Drosophila melanogaster: one gene and its partners. The gene in region 1 interacts genetically with each later gene. Each region holds a gene or a part of one and is shown on either strand. Other genes may lie near its edges. The genes, in order: ac, hry, fru and Hip1.

The links.
Region 2: of ac (region 1) and hry, changing one suppresses a phenotype caused by changing the other (phenotypic suppression), as found in Drosophila melanogaster (3 studies listed by BioGRID).
Region 3: of ac (region 1) and fru, changing one enhances a phenotype caused by changing the other (phenotypic enhancement), as found in Drosophila melanogaster (one study listed by BioGRID).
Region 4: of ac (region 1) and Hip1, changing one suppresses a phenotype caused by changing the other (phenotypic suppression), as found in Drosophila melanogaster (one study listed by BioGRID).

What each region holds. Positions count from the first base shown.
Region 1 is NC_004354.4:367,950-371,541, reverse strand, and holds ac (achaete), read right to left. Parts: upstream 1,512-3,592; 5' UTR 1,449-1,511; coding exon 843-1,448; 3' UTR 595-842; downstream 1-594. UniProt on the Drosophila melanogaster protein: AS-C proteins are involved in the determination of the neuronal precursors in the peripheral nervous system and the central nervous system.
Region 2 is NT_037436.4:8,673,926-8,679,989, reverse strand, and holds hry (hairy), read right to left. Parts: upstream 4,232-6,064; 5' UTR 3,741-4,231; coding exon 3,642-3,740; intron 2,619-3,641; coding exon 2,523-2,618; intron 2,386-2,522; coding exon 1,567-2,385; 3' UTR 737-1,566; downstream 1-736. UniProt on the Drosophila melanogaster protein: Pair-rule protein that regulates embryonic segmentation and adult bristle patterning. Transcriptional repressor of genes that require a bHLH protein for their transcription (e.g. ftz).
Region 3 is NT_033777.3:18,542,148-18,547,386, forward strand, and holds the start of fru (fruitless), read right to left. Parts: upstream 3,440-5,239; 5' UTR 2,966-3,439; intron 1-2,965. UniProt on the Drosophila melanogaster protein: Probably acts as a transcriptional regulator.
Region 4 is NT_037436.4:12,767,458-12,775,215, forward strand, and holds Hip1 (huntingtin interacting protein 1), read right to left. Parts: upstream 6,117-7,758; 5' UTR 5,854-6,116; coding exon 5,818-5,853; intron 5,763-5,817; exon of another isoform or gene 5,287-5,762; intron 5,127-5,286; coding exon 4,705-5,126; intron 4,646-4,704; coding exon 3,915-4,645; intron 3,859-3,914; coding exon 3,749-3,858; intron 3,685-3,748; coding exon 2,938-3,684; intron 2,882-2,937; coding exon 2,446-2,881; intron 2,380-2,445; coding exon 1,975-2,379; intron 1,918-1,974; coding exon 1,430-1,917; 3' UTR 1,105-1,429; coding exon of another isoform or gene 1,054-1,104; 3' UTR 975-1,053; downstream 1-974. Other genes in the region: Vps13D (vacuolar protein sorting 13D), read left to right, coding at 1-895, 1,054-1,104; CG32106 (uncharacterized protein), read right to left, coding at 6,540-7,758.

The DNA of each region.
Region 1 (3,592 bases):
GCCTGAGCAGATCTTATTTTCATTTTTCTGAACGTTGTCGGGGGCGATCTGAACAATTGCCGACCGTTGTTTTTTCGCTTGTTTCGGCTGCATTGCGGGAATAACTCAAAATTAGTTCATTCATCGATCGATCGATCGATCTCTCCGGAATTGTGAATTCTCAGGATCTTATTACCTTGACCGGTTCATATGCAAAAATGCAGCAGGTAAATATTTTGCCTTTTTCACCCTACTCAATCCAACTTTATTTATGCAAATCGGCGTTTTCGATCAAAAGTGTTTACAAAATGTTATTGTAATTTATCTTCATTGGCTAGTGATCTGTAAATACTTAACGGTTACAGTTTCGAATACTTTTTTCGGGCTTACCCCGAATAAAGCGTATACTAGGATCGTTTAAAGGAATGTACCAGGTAAAAGGAAGCGTGTCCTGTGGTATACAGGACAGGATCAAGTTTGTATCAAAACATTGCTACGCCCATATTCATAAAGCATTTGTTCATTAAAACTTTTCTGAATTTTACTCCTTTTGTACATAAATTTGTTTCACTTTAATTACCGTTTAATTTTGTTTACAATAAAAACTCATTTAAAATTTTATATATATCAGTTTAATGTCCTCAATGTATGCTATAAAAAAAAACTTAAATATAAATTGTCTTCCATTAGAAACTATCCTTAGAAACTATATAAAACCTTAAATACTAATTTATAAGGCAAAAAGGTAGTTCTAGGGAATATAAATACTTTGTGGCTGAGGTAATACTTGTTGGCCAATCAATGGTTTGATGTGTGTTATGGTTGGGTGCGACTAGCAATAGCTGAAGATTTGATCTGTTTTTTTACAGGTCGTCCTGCCAGAGTGATATATAGTCGAGGATGTCCTCATCTTCAGTACCAGAACTGCAGGAATTGTTACGGTAGTCTTCAAAACTGGCTTCCAACTTGGTATGAAAATTGTTAGGAGGTGTTGCTCCCGGAATCGTCGATGTTGCTGGCTTGCAATAAGAGCTAATGCTGTTGCAGGAACTTGTGCTGCCAGTTGGAGATTGCAACTGCAACTCTTGGTGCCAGGCGTATAAGTGTTGATGCTGTTGCTGCTGCTGAAAGTGCAAATGTTGCTGCTGCAAATGCAACTGTTTCTGTTTCTGCTGGTCGTTTTCATGAAGAACTTTCTGCAAGCGCCGTATGTACTCTACTGCCATTTTCAGTGTGCTAACTTTGCTCAGTTTTTTATTGGCGCCGGGACCAATTCCCCGGCGACCATTGCTTAAATCGGCTATTACGGCCGCAGGGATATGTTGTCGTAGTTGGCTGAAGCCATTGTTGACCTGCTTTACGCGGTTGCGTTCCCGGGCATTTCTCCGGATAACAGAGGGTCCATTAAAGGCCGAAGATGACTCCTCGTCGTCGTTGAAAACAGAGTGATTTTCGCTGCCCAAAGCCATTTTAAGAGATAGTATAACGTTATTGTGTGACGATGCTCCTTGCTTCAGCGCTGGCTCTGTTCTGATGCCCTTCCCCGTTCCGTTCAGGCTATTTATAGGTATCAGGGCCTAGGGATCCCACCTGCGTGACTACCTACCTGCCCCTGGAAAAGGTGCAACAGCATCATCACTGAAGGATCGTCTCTTGAGATGAGTGTTTTCTCTGATTTTAATAGAGAGGTAGTAATATTATCTCTCGTTCTCTCTGTAAAACGCAGCTGTTGGTGACCTGAGTGTTCCCGTTGTCGAGTGGGAAGAGTTTCTGAGTGTTTTTGCTCATTTTCAGCTGCCTGTCGTCCCCAAACGAAAACCTGGCCCTGTCGCGTGCCGGCTGCCAACCGGTTTAAAAAGGCAACAAGGTCCAGACATCAGAGCCAAGTAAAAACACCTCCGAAGTAAAAAGCTGTATCTCCTATTGAAAGTGGCCATCCAATTTGTATAACTAACAAAATACAACAAAATTAGTGGAATAGACTGTCATTACAATTATAAAAATGGGGACATTTACAATTTATACACTACCAAAAGTGTTTACGAAAAAATAATCTTTAATTAACAAGGCTAGGTATTTTAGACTTTTAAAAAATCTTTAATTTTATGTTAATACATTTAATTTAATTTATTTTATGTACTGATGACCTTCCGATCCCTGGATCATTCGGACATTATCTTAAACACTAGACCATTGTCGCTCGAATCCAAAGTCGTAGGAATTTTCAAGGCCAGCTCATCAACACCTCAGGCGGCGATCCATTCGGTCCTGCAACGAAACCTGATCAGCCGGAGGCACTTTTCTATTAACACTTCTAATGCCCCGGGGCCTTTATGCCCAACGTATCAGTTGTTGTTCCTCTCAGCCGAAAGCATTTTGAAAGCATTTAGGAGGTCCCCATTATTTCTTAAAACCATTGTCAGAATTCTGGTTGCACGCTAGGAAACCGTGCCGAAATAGATTTGTATTGGCACTAACTCACACTGAGCCTCGTTTAACACTTCGTTGCTGTAGCCCCGGGGGATTGCATAGCATTACATGTGAAAAGGACATCACAGGGCATCTAAGCACAGACATACCAGATGTCCAGAGGCTAATAAAATCAAACATATCCGGTCGACCTTGCAAAATCCGTGTTGATGTAATATAAATTTGCCGCGAAGCATTGAGACAAGGTATTCAGTGTCAACCAGGTTTATGAATTTGCAATTTTATTATTATTTTTTGCTTTGAATATCGCTTAGCGCCACAAGTGCTCTTCTTGAGCTTTTCTGCTTGATAACGACTAAATAGTACAATAAATGTTACTAAGACCCTGCGACAGAAAACCGAAAAATCGTGACGGGATAAACTTAAGGGGGGAAGAACTGAGATCTGAATATATGGCGTATCAACCGAATAAAGATGAAGTCGTCATTAATATTGACTCGGTCTGCCGATTACTTGACGTTGTTTCATTTATTCCACACTTCTTAAAGCGGCATGCTTGCGACACAGTAAGGCCTCGATTACAGGACAGCTTCCGTACATTTCAGTACCAATGTTGATCGTACAGGTATTCTAGCCGATAAATGAAAAGTATGTACAAAGTATGTACTCATGTTTATTAGGGTCTTCAAAATTGGGAGCTTAGAACTGTAGAGCCTACGCCTAGGTGCCATTGAATTAAATGTTGCTGCTGAATAAATAAAAAGTCAACTGTCAACTGTTCATGGCCATCAAATTGCCATCCAGAGATTACCGATCTCCGGACGATGAAAGGACGAAAGCCGCCCATGGTTTTGGTTTTGAGTCCCCCAACTTCCCACTCCATATAAATATCTGATTTATGAGAGCAACGCGAATATGTCAACGAAACGATGTCACATCTAAGGTGAGCGTTTTAACGCCGCCAATTCTATTTGGTCGATTTCTTATATCACCACTGGCAATAATATTTATGGCCAGGAGCAAAAGCCAAGCTCCTTTTGAAATTCAACGAAGAAAGATGGCGATTTTTGATTAATTGTAGTGCGAGAGCTTTGATTAATTGCTGGAGGCAAGCGGCTCCAATATAACAATTTGTTTTGGCGTTGCATTAAATCAGAAAGGAAGAAGTTTCTGGCATCATCAC
Region 2 (6,064 bases), on another chromosome or scaffold:
CCGTAGCTATCGGTCATCCATGATCCATGGCGATATCCGATTTAGTTCCAACTAACGCGAACCGGATCGACTTTCCTGCGGCTATAGTGGCCAACTTCTTGACATTCCATATCCCTAAGAAATTCGGTATTTTGCTGAATCGTTAGCTAATGGAATTTCGGATTTATTGCAATCAGAGCTAACCTGCCTTGATTTTAAAATATACCCTTGTGCGCCTTAACTTTTGCTGATCACTTCGATTGGAATAACCAATGATTAAATTGCAAAATATTTTAAAATATTATCGATCAAAGGATTATAATAAGTATTTATTTCGTCACAACTGTTTCGAATTACTGGCCTATCGAACGGATGTGTGAAAATCAAGGCATTCCTATATAATGTTTATGATGCACATATATCTATATCCGTTACGGTCTGGCCACAGAAAAACCTTCAACTCGTCGTGCCGATTATATTAGCAGAAACGGACATAATCGAGCCCCTTAAAACGTAGTTGTATTATCGTCGAAATCCCCGCCGATCCTCTCCAGCAAAATGAATTTCACCATTGGCATTATAATAATTAGCGTCGAAATTTGCTACGATAAGTCGGGGGGCTCGATAAGTTTCCTGTCACTCAAAGCGTTTGACCTCTAAAACAAAAAAAAGAACCATAATGGGACTTTCACCCGAATGAAAAAAAAACCCAGGAAAAGATACCCCAACCACAATAACAAATCCGTTTTGCGTATTTGATTTTTTAGTAGAATCTTTTAAATTTATTTCTTTTTAGTGTGTTGTTTGTTTGTTTTTTCTTTCTTGTTGATTTTTTTGCTTTTGCTTGCATCAAATTCTTGTTTTGTTTTCTTAGAAGCTCATTATGTTCACTATATCACGTGGCCTTACGAATAGATTTGTGTGTTTTATAAATATAATTATTCTTTGATTAGACTTAAGAGCGAGAGAAACCCTAAGCGGCTTAGCTGGCTATGGTACAAAACCTATACTTAAATGGAGATGTACGACTATGTGTAAGAGTTATGCTTTTGCGTTTATCTTTTTCATAAAAAGTATTTCAGCTTTTCAGGTGCTTATTTTCGCATTTTCATTTTCTGTGTTTGGAAGACTTTTGCTGATTTGCTGTTATTCAAAGAGTAATACATGATACATGAGGCAATTCAACACCAAGTACTTGGACTGAGGTAGTTTGGCGATGTCCTGGTAGAATACCGTTCTCTCAAATCGATTACATAATATAATAATAAATAAATTATAACAACGTTTGCGTGTGTGTGTTTGTGTGTGGGTGCGTCTGATGAAGGTCCTTAGCCTCGTCGACGGGTTTCCAGGATATAAGCCAGGAAACTAAGCCAACGAAGTTGTGAACCGAGTTTAGGATTCGCATGTTTGCAACACTTCAAAGCAACATTTGCGCAATCCCGGCGAATGATGTGAAATGTCTACGCGCATGCGCACAACGCCTGCGCATGTGTGCGAGTTGGATGAGTTGTGGGGGGTCAGTCTTAAAAGCGGGAGATTCGATAGGGGTGGCTATGCTATATGATATGCATATGCAGACACCCTCTACCAGGGCCGCCAGGGCTGCTCCTCCTCCTTGATCTGCTTCTTGATCACCAGCGACAGGGGCTGCTGCTCCATTGGCACGCGCTGGATGACCGATGGCTTGATGTCCATGGGCTCGTAGCTAGAGTTGGCCGGACTGGGCGGGGCGTAGCTACAGCTGCTGCTGCTTCCGGGCGCCGACTCGTATCCGGCGGAGGAGTGCGAGCTGGCGGATCCGGTGCTGGCTGTACGCTGGGGCATGCTGACCAACATGGGTTGCTGTTGTGCTGCTGCTGCGGCCGCTGCTGCTGCTGCGACGGCGAGTTGCTGCTGCTGCTGTTGGTGCTGCAGCAACTGTTGCTGCTGCTGCTGGGGCAGGCTCTGGGGCAACACGAGGGCAATGCTACCGTTGGGCAGCTTGGTGGGGATCACCTGCATGCCATTGGGCAGAAAGTAACCGCTGGCCGTCTGCTGGATACCAAAGAGGTAGGGTGCCGCTGCTCCCTGCTGGCTATCCTGCTCCGGCGAGCTGGGCGGCGAGGGCAGCATCTGGGCGTGGATGGACTGCTGTTGCTGCTGGCGCTGCTGCTGGTGCAGCTCTGTCTTAACGCCATTGATGCAGTTGCTCAGGTGCTGTAGCAGGCGACGACGCTGGGCGGGCTCGATGCCGGGAAAGCGGCTAACCTCGTTCACACAGTCGGCGAATCCGGCCTTGAATTTGTTCACAATCTTGGGATCGGCGGCCTGCTGCATGGCTGCCTGCTGGCGCTGCAGCTCCTGCAGATGCTTTACTGTCTTCTCCAGAATGTCGGCCTTTTCCAATTTGGAGTGGCGAGCCGGCTAAAAGTAGAGAGAGAAAATAATTTGGAAATTAGTCAATGATTTAAACTTTTAAAAAATATTTGAGATAATTTCAAATATGTAGTTTTTTTTATTTTATTTGTGGCTTTAAACTTATATTTTTGTCAGATACTTACGTCTTTTTTGGTGGCATCCAGAATCAGAGTCTTGAGTTCATTGAGACAGTTGTTAATACGGGCACGTCGGCGTTTCTCCATGATGGGCTTGTTCGACTGCAAGAGGCAAGAAATGGAAAAAAAAAACATCGATTAGTCACGGCTTTTGCACGGCTAATTTGACCTCATGCAACGACCCAAAAATAGAGGAAGCTGCATGGGTCTTCAATTGGATTGGAGGAGATCAAGGAGGAGGCGGCGTAGGTTGGGGAGCGGATTGACTGGCTGGCGGCCAAATTTAGTCGCACGGCGCGTGCTCTATTTATAGCGCCACTCGGCCGAGGCATTTATTTAAAAATAGTTTGGCGGTTATAAATTACAGGCAGTGGCTATAAATAAACCAACCAGGTATGAGCAAAAATAAAGAGAATGTGACAAGGTCAGAGCGGGAAATTCGAAGATGCCATAACTAGGTACATTATTATCTAGGGAGCACAAGTTGCCAAATTTGGACTCGCATGAAGTCAGTTTTTTTTTTTCTGGCCAACTCATTGAACCGGTGCCGTTCGAATGGCCAAAAACGGCGGCTGATGACCGACAATTGCAGCCACCACGCGACGCACGCGCCAAGTGGCAGCCAAATCCGAATCCGAGTCCGAATCTGGGGAGCTGGTGGGCAGCTACGCCAGCCAATTTTGGGCGGCACTCATGAATGGATGGAGCGTGTGTGTAGTCGGAGTAGTATGCCATATGCCATATAGTAAATGCCACCAACGCGACGCGAGATAAATTCGCTTTGTGTTGGCGCGCCGACGGCAGTTGCGGCCTTTTTTTGGTCTGGCTCAGAGTGTTTTTCTTTTTTCGTATTTTTATTCCCAGCCAGCCATGTGGGAGATGGCTAAAAAGGAAATGCATTTGGGCAGCGGGATTGATGGGGCCAGTCGCCCACAGTCGCGAATGGAAATCAACTTGAGCTCGAAGTGGGTGGCTCTCAATTAGGGGAATTCTCGGTTTGGTTCGCTTCAGTTAATCCACAGATTTCGGGGAACTAGAGGTTCTGATTTAATCCATTGACGGGGTTTTTTGTTTTTGGCTTTGGATTTTTTTTTTCGAGTCTTATTTTTCTCGAAAGAAACTTACCCGACGGTCACTTTTGAGCGGCGTCTCCTTGAGCTGGGCCGGCACAACGGCGGTGCCCAGAACGTTGGTCATGTTGGCTGCTGTTACGCCGGTAACCATTTCGGTCAGATATTGTTTGTTGAGTTTGAGGCACAGTTTGGTTTTCACTTGGCAGCAAATCTGAATTTGCTGCTCTTTGCAATATAAGTTCACTGCTTTTTTGCTTTTTTTAGAATAACTCAAGTTGTCAGTTTTTTTTTTTTTCAAGTTCACTTGGTGGTTTCACTTTCGCGCAGCGTCGCAGAGAAGCACGTAAAATGGTATTGTGTCTGGGGGGGTTCTCTAGATTTCGATTCGGTTTATCAAAGCGGAGCGATAGAACCGCACGCTACGAAATACGGCAGGCGAATGAGCAGCAGGTTCTGGCTGCAGTGCGATTAAAAGACCGAAACGACTCGGCACGAAGCAGAAGATCGATCGTTCGGCTTTCGGATGGTTGCGCTATATATATGTATGTATATATATATATAAGTATTTGCTTTACTGCGTCTGGATGTTGCGGAGCGTAGCGGGACTACCTTATCGCTGGGCTCTCGGCGGAAGACTGACGATTGATCGACAGGTTCGTAGGCTAAATCGCCGCTGCGAGACGCGAGCGCGAGCCACACGACCGCACCAATACAATTGCACTGGCATTGCGGCTACCTAGGGGTATACATTATGCGCTACCTGCTCGCTTCAGTGTGTGTGTGTGTGTGTGCGTGCTCACGCTTGTGAGCGGTACCTAAAGTACACACCGCGTTACTCATACGCCCCCGTGGCTCGCGGGAATGGGCATTTCTTCCTTTTTGGAAATCACACTGCGAAACCCCCATTGGTGATCGTCGGTCGGTCGGTCGATCAGCGATCGGTTTGGCTTGACTCTGCTGGGCTCTGCTAACTGAGGGATTCACAAGAGGCTGTGTTTCTGGCTGTGCTGTTGGTGATGGTCGCGGTGGTGTTGGTGTTGTTGCTGCTTCTGCGGTGGTTTCTGGTGGCTCGCCGTTCGTGGTTTGCTGATTCATGCGGCCAACGCGACGACGTCCCATAGAAGGTGAAAATAGCTGGCTATATGACGCCACCCCAGTGCGACAGGTTCGGTTTTTTGTGCTGTGTACTGTGTATCTGCGGCTCGGGGGTCGCTAAACAGTAAACAAGATCACAAGGTTGTGCGCACGCTAGGCGGAAGTGGGTGGTTGGGTGGTTGGGTGGTTGGGCGATCGGGCAGTGGGTGGTGGCTATAGTTATCCCCCTAGCATTTTCCAGACCAGTCTGTACAACCGACTCATTCAGCATGCCGTACGCCTCAATTAAGTGAAGGTCGCCCTTTTGGCTTTTGATCGATAGCCGCCAACGGGCTAAATGAAATGGAAATCGCTGTGGACAAGGCTGCGTGGATCACACGTGCTCCGCCGGACGCTTAGATTCAGCTTGATGGCTTCTACGTGCAGCGTTGGATTTTCACGTTTTTCATATATTATTTGTTGTTTTGTTTTGGAGTAATGATTTATCGAAGGTTGACTATAATTACGCGACACGCGGAATAGTCGGGCATCAGAAAACTAACCATTCATTAGCAGAATGAGAAGAGGGGCATTGCAGTGAAAACTGGGAATATTACAGTGAAAATGAAGCTTAAATTATATTGTTTATTTGGTAGTAAAAAGCCAAAGTGCGTCACACACATTTCGTTACAACCGAAAGTGATATTTTAAATAACTGCTTAAGCCATCTATTATTTACAAAATATGGGTTAAGTTTTAAGAAATGGTAATAACCATGTAATTAGTTTAACCAGGCTGAGCTCAGTAAAGGTAGATGACACATATTTAGGTTACACGATCTATAAAAGGAAATTACGTTATCTTTGACGTTTGTTCTTGGGAAATATTTTTAAAGCCTGACTTGGACTCTGACCACTGATTAGTGAAGTTATACCAAAACCACGAATCGTCAACAAAGTTACATTGGAATGAGTCAGTCAGGCTTTAAACATTCAAGTTGGCTAAAAACGGGTGTTTACAATATTTTTTTTATAGCGAAACCACCTGGCAGTGTTTTTATAGAAACTAATAAAGTTGACTCTAATGAAGATGAGTAAAAAAACGTTTAGAAGTTAATTTGATTTTACTACACTTAATTTCTGCTTAATAATTAAATGAAATTGAACTTAATCAACAATCACGTCTTACAAATATGCATATCTATCGATTCGTGAAAATACTCAAAAAGTTTGGGGAATTTCTGACATTTTTGACGGTTGTCTAAAGTGTTGTGCGTTTTGTGGTCGCCAGAGAAGGTTGTTATGCCGAGAACACATGCCCCAACAATATGGATACATATATATATAGACGGTAGTGGCGGACGTCGACAACACCTTCGCGTTCCAATTACAATTTGGCAGC
Region 3 (5,239 bases), on another chromosome or scaffold:
GTTGTAAATAAATAATTAAATTACTTTGCTGGGAAATGCCTCATAATGGGCTCGACACCGGAAAGAGACCCAATAAAATACACAACACAGATATTAAGTTGTTTTTAATGTGCTCGAAATGCTGCCATCCTGTGGAACTCTGTGGGTTCTCTATGGGTTCTGCATCTGTATGGGGTTATGGCTCTGGGATTTCTACGAGGCTGTCTGTCACTGGGGGCCGGGCCATCATCATTCTGCCAACAAAATCGAATTACTTCCGTATGTTGTGGCATTGTGAGCACTAGCATTCATACATATATATATATGTATATATATCCCCAATTCATGCCGCACAACAACACGAGCAGCCGCCAGTGCAGCTCCATCTCGACACTTCACTTCACTTGTCCTTGTCATCCGTTACAGACCGCCCTTTGGCCCCAAGCCACCCCCCCCCCTTTTACTTCCACCCATATTTTACCCATATTTTCCCGTGCTTCCCCCGACTTTTCCCACCTCCCAACTTGTTGGACTTTTGTAACGGTTCTGGCACTGGCTGTTCATCAGGCTGCAGTCGCAGCAGTTCGGCTTACACACAATTTACAAAATAACCTCAATCCACCCACTCAATCTCGCATTCCCGCGCCCCGCTGGAAAACTGCGTCCCTGCCTCGCAGGGGCCCTTCACTCAGTCACTCAGTCAGCCGACTGGGAGAGTGTGTAAATTGTCTTGTGTAAATATGCAAATTTTTCTTATTTTCATACCCTGAAAGGGAGTCGCACTGCTGCAACAAGAACTTTACAAGCCTCTCAGGAAAATGCAGCCGCACTAGTACTGTTTTATGAAGTAAAACTAGTAACTTTGGTAAGCACTTTTTTGTAAGTGCTATTCAGAATATGCTCAACTGTATAGGAGTTGTATTAAACAAATGCGACTTTAAAAATATTTAAAGAGTTTATTCAGCATTTCCTTCAAGCAATTTTTTTCTACGAAGGAAATCCTTTGAGATGTATCTATTTATCTAATGAAATTTAAAATATAATTTTGCCAAATCATTATAAAAATTAATATATATACTCCCGATTTTTTCCTAATCCATTTAGTTTACAAGCTCTAACTTGATTTTCTGTTTCATAATAAGATTAACTGAAATATTATATACTCTTGCATCGTTTGAGTTCACATTTTTTAATTTAAAGTTGATATGGTCTGCTTTTTACTTTATTTTAACTCATATAATAAGAGTAACTTTCTTAAATCATCCTAATTTCTACCGAAATAGATTCCCATCTATTTTTAGGCACTTTTCGTGCAAGGGTATTAAGCGTATCGACTTCCTGGGGTGTATCCTGTCAATCCTGTTTTTATTGTCAACGTTGTTGTTATTGTCTGGAGTGTGGATAGGGATCGGGGGCGCTGTGGGCGGGGCGCTGGCAGTTCGTGTAAACAAACCAAGGCGTCGGATTAAAAAGTTTTGCATTACAAAGAGTTTTCGGTGGACGGACGATGGGGACGGAAGCTTGGGAAAATGTTTTGATTATTTAACTGCAAGTTACGATAAAACTAATTGCAATTACAAGCGGACTCTTTCCCTTTATGGCCCCTAATGAAATTGGCAATGCCAAGGCTGACGATTCAGCACAACTCAAATCAAACTCGGACGCAAACTTCGCACTGCAATTTTATTGGCCCGGTTCAATTTGAATGGTTTGCTTTCTTTGTTGGCCTCTGCATAAATTTTCCTCGGGCAATATTGATTTCCATTACAAATCCAATATTAAACTATGCCCCTGAGAGCGATTACTCGATTCCTACCGTTTTGCTTACTTACTTAAACCTTTTGTAACTCAACGAAATTGAGGACATGGCCAGGACACGGCCAGGATGCACCCGGCCCACAGATTTGTAGTTATTACAAAGGATCATTAAGAGCGTAGATATATTTTCCCTTTAGACTTGTCATTTAATCTCTGGAAATATTTACTACACATTCCTACCTCATAATTTGTCAAAATATTTTTGGGTGCCTTTAAAAACCAAATTTATGTTGGCCGGGGGAGATGTAAGAGTACTCAAATATATTATTGAATATAAATTGGTAACACGGATTAGCCAGTTTGCAATTGGCCTTGGTCTGCTGAACTTCTGAATAAACTGAATCAAATGCAGATGAAGTAAACTGATATTTGCTAATAAAATATAAGAAACTGAAATTTGAATTGTGCTCAGCCAACTTTAGGTTTTGTTGTAATTTAATTTGCTAGTTAAAAGTTTTCGAAGATTTTGTTGTTATAACTGAACCGAATGTTTCTTAGCAGTATAGTATTCTTGCAAAACACCTCAATGTGGTTTAGAAAAATAATTTATTGTAATTTAATTTAGGTATATCTTAATTCTGTCAGTAGATTCTATGATTTAATTTTCTAAAAATTCTTTGTAATTATTAAAGGTAAATAAGGACCATATATTTGTCTGACCTGTTATTAATTATTTTATACATCTGTACTGATGTGAATGGATGAATATTTTTTAAATGTGTTAACGTAGTGAATTTTCTTGCAGTACCATAGATATTAACTGCTTGGATACTCACTCAAATATTTTAATATATTTATTTTATATTAAAACTTGGAAACCCCAACGTTTTCGAACCTATCTAACATTTTTAAATATAAAACCTAATTGATAAACACGTACTTCATAATAGATAGCACATAGTGAGAATGCACTTTAAATATTTTTAGAACCCACATTATAAAATTTTCAAAAGACTTAGTTAAAATAAATATTTATACAAAGAAAATGAGCAAACAAATGTTTTTTTTTTAATATTGGTTTTGTACCTGTGCCCTTAACGTATTCCACAAAACCACTTAATACAATTTGAACAACATAAAATCTGCTCTCAGAAGAGCATATCACCTGCACTTTAAGTAACTTTACATAGGAATACCTGGCTCTTGTTGGCCGGGAACACAGACTCACCTGCTTTTATTTGACCTTATGCGGCTGCAACTTGTTGACTTTAATGAAAATGCACTCAGCAGAGGCTGACTGGCACACACAAAACGCTGGCACAACAAGTTAATATGTATTAGCTAGTCGCTAGTATGTCTGTAGTATCTTGGCTTAAAACGGCACTCGGTGAGACACCAACAGAAAAAAAAAGGACAAACAAAATCGGGCGGCACTCGCACACTCAAACGTACGCACACAGTTGCAAAACAAGTCAAGCGCGAAAGGACCGACTAAAACATGGCTAACATGTTTGGCTAATTGGCGTTTCTAGCGCCGATTTTTACAGCGCTCTAGCATTTATGTAAGCGGAATGTAAAACGCTTTACAGGACTTCAAAGTCTGGATTGGATTGGATTTGAATTGGAATGTTGTGGCAGGTCGTTCGGTATGTCGGCTGCTGATTTCCTTCGAAGGGATTGTGTGAGCTGTGCGTCCTTGCTGAAGGAGCCGCCGCGTCCAACTGACTGCTGCTGGATGTGCAAGCTGCGATTGTTGCAACGACTCTGCTGTCGCAGCACCAACGAAACGCAGCAGCAGCAGGCGCAGCACGGCGACAGCAGCAGCGTCAAAGGCAAAAGCAGCAGCAACACATAAACGCAGTACATGGTGGGTTCGGTGGAATACATATACATGCTCGTTGCTGCCGAAGTCCTTGCAGTCGAAGGGTTGTGTAGTTGCACTTGTAGTTGCTCGTGTTGCAACACACACAGCAGCAGCAGCAGCAGCAGCAACAGCAGCAACACGACATCAACTTCGGCCCACATTGTGCAATTGGCTTAGTTCCCAGTCAACAACTGGCCGCCTTTACAGTGCCCGTTTACAGCGAAGAGAAATGCTCTCGATATCCTTGGCTGCTTTCTCTCCGAGGATTTTCTCGAACAGCTGTTCGCGCTTGCCGGCTCTTATCAGTGAAATGGTAACAGCTCCTGTTAGCGTGCAAATGCACTTTTCTTTTCTTGGCTTTCCGCAGTGGCATTTCTTTTCGTTTCCTTCCTCTTCCTTGCCTTACTTTCATTTCCGTTCCTTTCGGTGGGGTTTGATTTATTATGTAAAAGTACAAGGACACTGCCACATACAGTGGGTACTCAATTAACTAGCTTTAGAAAACGAAAATATATATATTTTTAAAAAGGCAATGTTTACTTTAAGTAAATATTAATTGAATATAATATGATTTCAATACGAATAGCAAACATAAGTAGGCAACTTAACGTTAATAATTGATGAGTAGGGAAAACTAACAAACAATTTATCAAAAATGTATTAAATATATGCTTTCGCTACGATCCCGATTACAGGGTGTACACTGTACCTGCGGAGCTGCGTGTGCGTGCCAAGTGTTGGACAAACAAGCTGAGCACTAAAGCCGGAATACATTTGAGACTCTTGCAATCGACTTAATACGCCGCTAGAAGGGGGCACGATACGGCCTCATTGCCCCTACGGGAATGACAACCAATATGAAAATGGATTACCACAAAATGCAAATTGCGAAATGGCCAATTGATACCAGCGTCTAGCCACCTAATCGTCCGATTAAACCACCTTAAAATCGCAAAGCAGCCAGGCATTAATTACACGAAGTAAATACACCGACTCGGTTTACTCGGCAATGATAAAATCTATTATTAGAGAGGCCGAGTGGAAAGTTTTCCACCAACCAAGCCAACCAACGTTTGCTGTTGCCAACCGGCGTTGTTAGCAGAGCGCTGCTAAAGGACCTCTGTTAACTGGGCCGGCACGTGTTTCTCTCTCGCACGCACACAGCGAAGCGGATTTTTTGATTCTGTTTTGATTAATAGCTTCGTTGCAAGCTTATCAAGCGCCCACACACACACACACACACACACACACAAGCGCGCGGCCAGGAAGTGCAACAATGTCACGTGGCCGGCATTTGCCGAAGTCTCCTCTCGCCAGGACTCGCGCTCGCTCTCATTTCGAGTTGCCCCCATTTTCTCTCTCTGTAAGGCCTGCGCTGTTTACAGCAGTTAACTTTTTTCCAACGCCCTGCAATCGAACATGTTGCAACTATCCGTCTCTTTTGCGCATTTCCCCAGCCCATCGCAACAACAACAATAAACGAAAATAAACAAAAACAAATATAGCACGAGCAGCAAAAAATCGAGTATTACATAAGTCGGTGCTCCACCTACGCGAATTGGAATATAGTGCTGGCCCTATGTGACTGTCCTATATGAAAGATCGGGTATTTTGGTCGGTTCCTCGCTTTTGGCGAAT
Region 4 (7,758 bases), on another chromosome or scaffold:
CGATTTCCTTGGTAATCCATTGGGATTTGCCAACGATCTTTCGGAAGGAGTATCCGGACTGATTTTTGAGGGCTCCGTCAAGAGTTTGGTGAAAAATGTTACGCATGGCATATCGAATTCGACGGCGAAGCTAACAGAAACGCTGTCCGATAGCCTGGGAAAAGTTGTGCTGGATGATCACGACAATGAGACGAGGCAACGCATTCTGGAACTGCAGTCCAATACATCCGGCGGTCACCTTGCAGCGGGTCTGAAGGGTCTCGGATTTGGACTGCTGGGCGGAGTAACGAGTATTGTAAGACACACTTACGATGGTGCCACTTCCGATGGCGTTCCTGGCTTTCTCAGTGGATTGGGAAAGGGCTTAGTAGGCACTGTCACCAAACCGATCATTGGTGTATTGGACCTGGCATCGGAAACTGCCAGTGCCGTTCGTGAAACAAGCCGAGATAGTCACAGAAACGCTCCGGAAAGGAAAAGGCTACCCAGATGTGTGACTGGTGCTCCTGGTGGTCTTTTGCCATTGTATTCCAATCGCCAAAGCAAGGGGCAGCAATATCTGTACCTAATCAATCAAAAGAACTTTTCGGAGAAGATAATTTCATATGAACCCAATCTATGGAGCGACAAGGAGGCTAGATTGCGCTTGCTGGTTTCTACAGAATACGTACGAATCTTTTCACTAAGCGACGCCAATCCAACCATTATGTTTGAATGTCATGTTAGTGAGATTCTTTCGTGCCATCCAGTGGTAACGAATGCCGGCACAACGCCAACCACGAGCAGCAGGGCGTCGGCCAGTCACTACATCGAGATATCAACCAATCTTCCAAAGATTACCAGGCCCAGGATACGGTGTCGTTCCGAGGAATGTGCTGAGGCAGCATCAAGATGCGTAAGTAGAAATCATCTTAGCAGAAATTAGTAGAAATTATCTTTCAATAATAAACTATTATTGTTGAAGCGCAGACTTTGTTTATCATATAATTTATTTACTTTTACAAATTTTGAAATGATTATCACATATATTCCATACTTGTCTTTTTCTTTTAGATAAACTACGCTAAAAGTGTCTTTGATGAACGTGAACATGCCGTTTTATAAAATGCAATAGGTCGGTTCGTGATAATAAACAAAAACCTTTTGACAACAAATGTTACATTTTATTTTCTTTGGCAATAAGTGCTATTTTAATTTCAAGTAGTAAGTAAAATAAACATTTAAGAAATAATGAACCCACATACTATGGTGTGATATAAATCAAGGATCAAAAAGCGATCGACACGGAATACTATAAACAGATATTACGGATTCATTGTAGGATAAAATGACCGCAGTGTAAATATTGTGTAGATATATTATTTGTCATGACGGGCATTAATACAAAAAAGAATGTTTGTAAAGTTAGTAACATTAATAAATATGGTATTTAATAATCGGCATTCTTGTAATGCTCCTTACGAAACGATGAGAGTTTTAGTCGTTGCATTTGGAGAGCTTGTTCGATTTCGAGTACTTTAACATGAATTTCCATTTCCATCGTTTTAATCTGTGATGGCGTTAGCTTAGAAAGTTCTATTTCACTCTGCTGCTCCAGCTGGGAGTTGCAATCCTTCACGGTGGCGACCAGAGTTCCTGTTGCCTGCGTTACGCTTCGCGAGGCTTTTGTGAGGTCGGTTAGCTTTTGACTATTACGTTCAGCCTTGACTTTGCTCGCAATAACCATTTGGGTCGTGCAGGCAGCAATTTCTTGGGCAGCCACAATGAGTTCAAAGTTCTTGCCAGATTCACTTTCAATAGCCTTGTTTGCAGCTTCCACCAGATAGTTGGCTGCCTTCGCCACACTTTTCGAGGCGGATATCAAACCATCTGACCACTGACTGTTCCGCCTATAAAACTCATTAGCACTCGCATTTCCTGAAAGAGTAATTACTTGTCAGTAACTTCATTGAATTAAAAAATATTGTTAGCTACCTTTTTGGGAAGCCACGATTTCGTGTTGCAGGAGACGAGATTTTTGGATTAGAGCTTTGACACATTCCATCAAGGTGGTACACGCATCCACTATTTTTCCGTTTACCTCTAAATTGGTTTGGTTGTCCTTCTCTCGAGCCTTTGCCAGTAGATCTGTAATTTTGGAGGCTGCATCATCAATCGCAGCGTCCATCTCGCGAAGCTCGATTTCGAGCAGCTTATCTAAATCAATCTTCTGTTCAAATGATGCCTTTATTTTCTCAATCAGCTTTTCAATATCTCTCAGCTTTGTTTGTATATCAGTGATTGTTTTCTGTCTCTCGGGTTCTTTTGTTTCATTATTTAATAAGTATTGGAACAATTGACAGATATCGGTACATAACAAATTTGTTTTTGAGAAAATTTCTGCAAAATAAGTAATACAAAGTTAGTTTGCTGTAGGTGGTTATGTTTTTAGTGTTATCAACTTACCCTGACCTGTCTCAATTGCAGTTGTTGTTTTGTAGATAACATCACATTGATCGTATAGTTTTATAAATACATAACCCAGATACATAACATTTTGCAGTCCTTCGGTTGAAGCAACATAGTTTATAGCCGATGCGTTATTGAACTTATTTAAAATGGTCTCCATTTCGCGTATTATGTTTGGCACCGCATCCAAAGGCTGTTGTTCCGATCCGCTCAACTTCGAATTGCATATTTCCTTTACAGTCTTGATCACCAATTTTCTGAGTTCACTCAAATCGGTACTACAGATTTGGTACGAACTTGTCACGGCATCAATTTGCTGTGTTGCTTGGGTTAGTTTTACCTCAGTAAGCGAGAGTTTGCTTTGCAAATCCTCGTTACGCTGACCCGCTGAAGCATTTTCCTGCCTCAATTGATTCACAATTTCCTGGGTTTGCTGAAGAAAGAAAAGCAGTTTCTATAATTTTCTTGATTTAAATTGGTTTCATTTACCTGTAATGCACTCTCATTTTGCTCCAAGTTGTTTAAAGTTAGCTGCAATTGAGCATTTTGTGCTTCGCTGTTGTTTTTATGCTCTATACCTAACTGCTCTATTTTAGTTAATAGCACTGATTTTTCCGCTTCAAATGCCTTTAAATTGTTTTGAATTTCCAATGCCTTTAAGCTGATTTGGCTTTCTGCGCTGGACAGCTGAAGCTTAACTTCATTGAACTCTTTATCCTTTTGTTCCAAGTTATCCATTATTTCTTGCAATTGAGCGTTTTGAGCTTCACTATGGCTTTTACTTTCAACACTCTGTTGTTCAATCTGAGTTAAGAGCAATGCCTTTTCCGCTTCAAAAGCTTTTAGCATTTTCTCGATATCCTCGGTCTTTGCATTTATTTGGCTTTCGGCGTTCGACAGTTTTTCCAGGGTGTCATTGAGGTTTCCATTAAGCTCTTCGACTTTGAGGCAATTTAGCCTCAGGTTTTCGGAAGTGGAAATAATATCGAGTTCCTGAATTTCCTTTTGTTTAACCACATCATCGAATTTCTCCTTCATCTCGTTTTTGACTGCTTCAAGATGTGCTATTTTCTCCTTGTGCTCTTCGATTTGCTTTTGCAGAATCAAGTTTGTTTTCTCTTTTTCCTCTACGTTTACTTTAATTTTGGAAATTTCATTGGTAAGCTCCTTAGTTTCCAACAATAGTTGTGAGTTTACTTGTTTCTCTTTATTTAAGGACTTGTTGCAATCACTTTGCTGATATAAAAGTATATGAATGAATATTAGTATAGGAAATAGAAAATATTGTGTTTCTGCATACCTCTCTCAGCAGCTGAATGTGCTCATCTCGAATCTTTGTGTATAGAGTTTTAAGTTTATTAAACTTTTCCGACGACAACTTGTGCTTTTCTTCTTCCTCCATAGCTTTTTCTGAAATACAAGGTATTTTTATATGACTTCATTATGTTTAATAAGCATTTAATTACGTAAAAGAATTGGGTTCTGATTCAGTTGCATCTCAAGATCGTCATTTTGCATCCGAAAGGTGGCACACATTTCTCTCGCCAAGACCAGATCATTTGACAGCACAGTATTGTTCTGTTGCAACTCCTGAACGTCGTGTCTGTAGCTTTGCTGCAGTGCGTCGAAATTTTTTTGCATTGCGTCCAATTTGAATGACAGCTCCTCAATGCTAGCCTCTTTCTCGCTGATTATACCCTCCAACATGCTAAGCTGCTGCTGGGCTTGACTGAAGGCTTCCAGCTCGTGATTGTTGGTATCCACAAGGTCTTCAACAACCGGATCGGGCTCCTGGGGAACGTGAACCACTGGCGGTACATAACTGGTGAAATCGTTTTGGGACTTGAAGTTAGGACTTGAGTCCGGCAATTCCGGGATTGTTATTAGGTCCTTGAAATACTGAAGCGGTCGCACGTTGTTGTAAAAACTCTTCAACTTTAAAAACAGACCGTGAAAGCGATCTCTGTGTCCGGAAACAACGTCGTATGGTACACCATCGTGTAGTTTAAACATTAACCGAACGCTTAAATCGTACAACGCATTGGAATCCTGGATAAGGCAAACTATTGGCGCTAATCTACATTGTCCCTGCGGTGTCATCGACGACATTCTGTACTTTTCCATAGATGAAAATATCGTCAATTGCAGCGCAATTATATCCTCCAAGTAGTCGAAAATTTCCACGCACAGTTGAAAACTGGAATCAATGGTTCTGTCTCAGTAGTTTGAAAGTAATATATATCTATTTTTACTTACCAATAATTTAAATCCCTATCCACAGCAATGAAGAGTTCCGTGAACGAAATGTTCAGGGTGCCGGGAAACATTCGATTTTTGTCGTGGAAGTTTAATTTTGTGGCCAAGAGCTTACTATACGCCTGTATGCAGCATCCAATATCGTCCTGCAGCAGGCCCCACATTTTTCCCACCTCCAGTATCATCTTCTTGTGGCTCTGCGAGTGGCGGATGGCACTTTCATGACCCTCTCGCAGGACCTTGTGCAGCAGATGCGAAAACTTCCAGGCAGTAAATCTACTCTGCATCAAAGGCTGCCGGGAGATGATCATCCAGAATGTTTTGGCCTCTTTGGCCTTGTGTATCATAATAATAATGGAGCGGGCATGTTTGGTTTTGAGTGGCGCTTCCAGGCCATTTAAAGCTTTGGACACGCTGACGTTCTGAAATGAAATGTAAATATTATAGTTTAAATGGCTTTTTATTGTTGTACACTTTCGAAGAAGTGACTGACTCAGCTTATAAGATATGGACGGATTTTGGCGGACGATATCTATAGTTTTATACTTTTTAGTGGAATTCGATCTAAAGGGGGTGACTCACTGATCGACTATTTAGTTTGGAAGTGCAAACATTTCGATGCTTTTAAAAATAAGATTCCAAACACCTACACCATGTGTTTGATATGAATTTATGATAACAGAAGGTAATCTAAATACTGGATTTCACTTCTTATCGTGCCGAATTTGGGTTGATAATCAAAAAATTTGAAAGGCCTTTGTGTGCACATTGAACAATTGATCAAAGTGGATGTAGTCCGCATAGCATTCATTGCAGTTTCTAATTTTCTGGGTCATCCGAAGCGGAGAAACTTGGGATTAGCATGTAGTGTAGTCTCTGTGGTGTTGCAAGTCGTGTGAAAAGCTGATGATATTTCGAGCTGTTCCATATAATCTGGTTCAAGGCTGACTTCTTAAGTGAAATGTTTATGCATATTTGAGCGGCGCGCCTGTAGTTGTGTGCATAAACATTTAGGTATTTACACTATGCACATGATATGACAACATCCGTGTGCCTATAATCTGCTGTGGGTATTCTTGGCGGTTTTCTTGGCTTTCCTTTGGGCTTACGTACCAGGTGGTAGAACTCCTTTTCGGCGTGAGTTGCCATTGTTTACTGACAATTCTTGGCGTACTTGCTGAACAAATTCGAATCATTCGCAGCGCGATATATGTGCATTAGAGCAAAGACAGCAAAGACATTGGAAACGGGAGTTATCTTATCTTATCAACAATGTTGGCCATTGTTTTCGTATTGGTCGCGTTCGTATTCATTCGGATTCCGATCGTGTGCGTGTATGAAACAATGAGTGTAAGAGTAAATTAGTCATATAAACAAATGTTGTTTTCCTTTATCGATAAAAGTTAATAGAGCTGGGCGGTGTTCCGATATGCGGGCTTTACCCTATCGATTCGTTTCGATAGTCATCAACTTCTTGCATCACCATTTTGAGCGCGAAAAAAAATGTTTTGCAAATTTTTATTTTTTTCCATTAAATCGAAGGATATTTGAATTGAAATACACTTAAATGAACCAATATTTAAATTATAACATCGAACGCTTTCAATAAAACTTCAGTTAAGTTAAAAATTTAATTTAATTTGATTTTATACGATGGTTTAAAAAAAAGCTTTAGAATGTGTTTTTGAAATTTTTGTGTACTGATTTTCTAAAAAGATAGATTTTGTTCGATATTTATAGATCTGCTACCATATTTTTACTTTAAATAAAAGAACGACAATTTTAATTTGTTTTTAAAGTAATTTTAATTTAATGTATTCTTCCAACTGTTTGGATTAAATTTGGTATTCCGATTGATCATAGTAATCCAAATGTACATTTTGCTGTGGCCAAAACATCTCGGCTGGGTATTGGTTTTGTGGTGGAATGTAACGTCGATTGGGATCTGGAACGGATGTCATCATCAGTTGCGGATGATGATATTGATTGCTATAAGGACAAGCGTGGTGTCTGAAAGTAGGATGCTGTTCTCCGTGAACAAAATTTGGCTGCAGTGAAAATTCCGGTGGCTGGAAGTTGGAATCCATGCGTGTTATATTATACTTATTCACGGTGCGTTCATAGAATCCATCTGGAAGCATTCGAATGTTCTCTTTTAGTTGAGGATTGTAGTCAGGGTTTCTGGCCTGAGAGGAACTTGGGTCTGAAGTATGTACAGATTCCTGAAAATGATGATAGGATCCATGATCCGGCTGACATTGTTCCTTCATTTGAAATTGATGCTGCACGGCTGGTGCTGAAGCTGGTGACTTAGTGGGCATCCACTGATCCCGCGGATCTATAAGGTACCCTTCATCGAAAGGAGTGACATTTTGTGGAGCACTCACAGAGATCTGCGGTTGTAGCATATGATCCGGTGGCTTCGTAAATCCTTGATGGAGACTCGGAGGAAGACCCGTGTATTGATAAGGACACGAGTTACAGGGCGGTCGTCCACAGGTCTGGAGTAGAATTTCCCTGTTACAGGGAGTTCTTGTCTCTATAAGAACGGTGTTCCCATTGATATTTGCCTGGTTTCTGATCCCAGCACTTTCACAACTACGAAGTTTTCGAGGTTGCATTAGGGTTACCGTTTCCAGTGTTTCCACGTCAGTCGATGTATTGGGAGCTAGTAATTGGGAGTTCGGAGGTGGATCTGTCCAAGTTAAGTCAGTAGAATACCCAGAAGCTCCAACCATAGCTGAATTATGCGACCCGTCCTCGTTTTGATGACTATCGCGATGGCTTTGGTCACTATTATTTCTATCACAAGCTAGGTATTCATCTTGTCTGTGCTGGTCAGGATATTGGCTGCTGGCCGAAATGAATCTTCCGCCTTGCGAATTGTTTGAATCATTTCTTTGAATACGTCTAAGTACTGGGTAAGATGTTTGGGATGGGGCTTTTCGTCTATTTTCTGAGGATGGTGGATTGTTACTCAAAGAATCAGAAACGCCTGGATGATTCTGCAGATTCCTATTTCTCCTTTCAATAGATTGCTCTGCTGTATTCGTT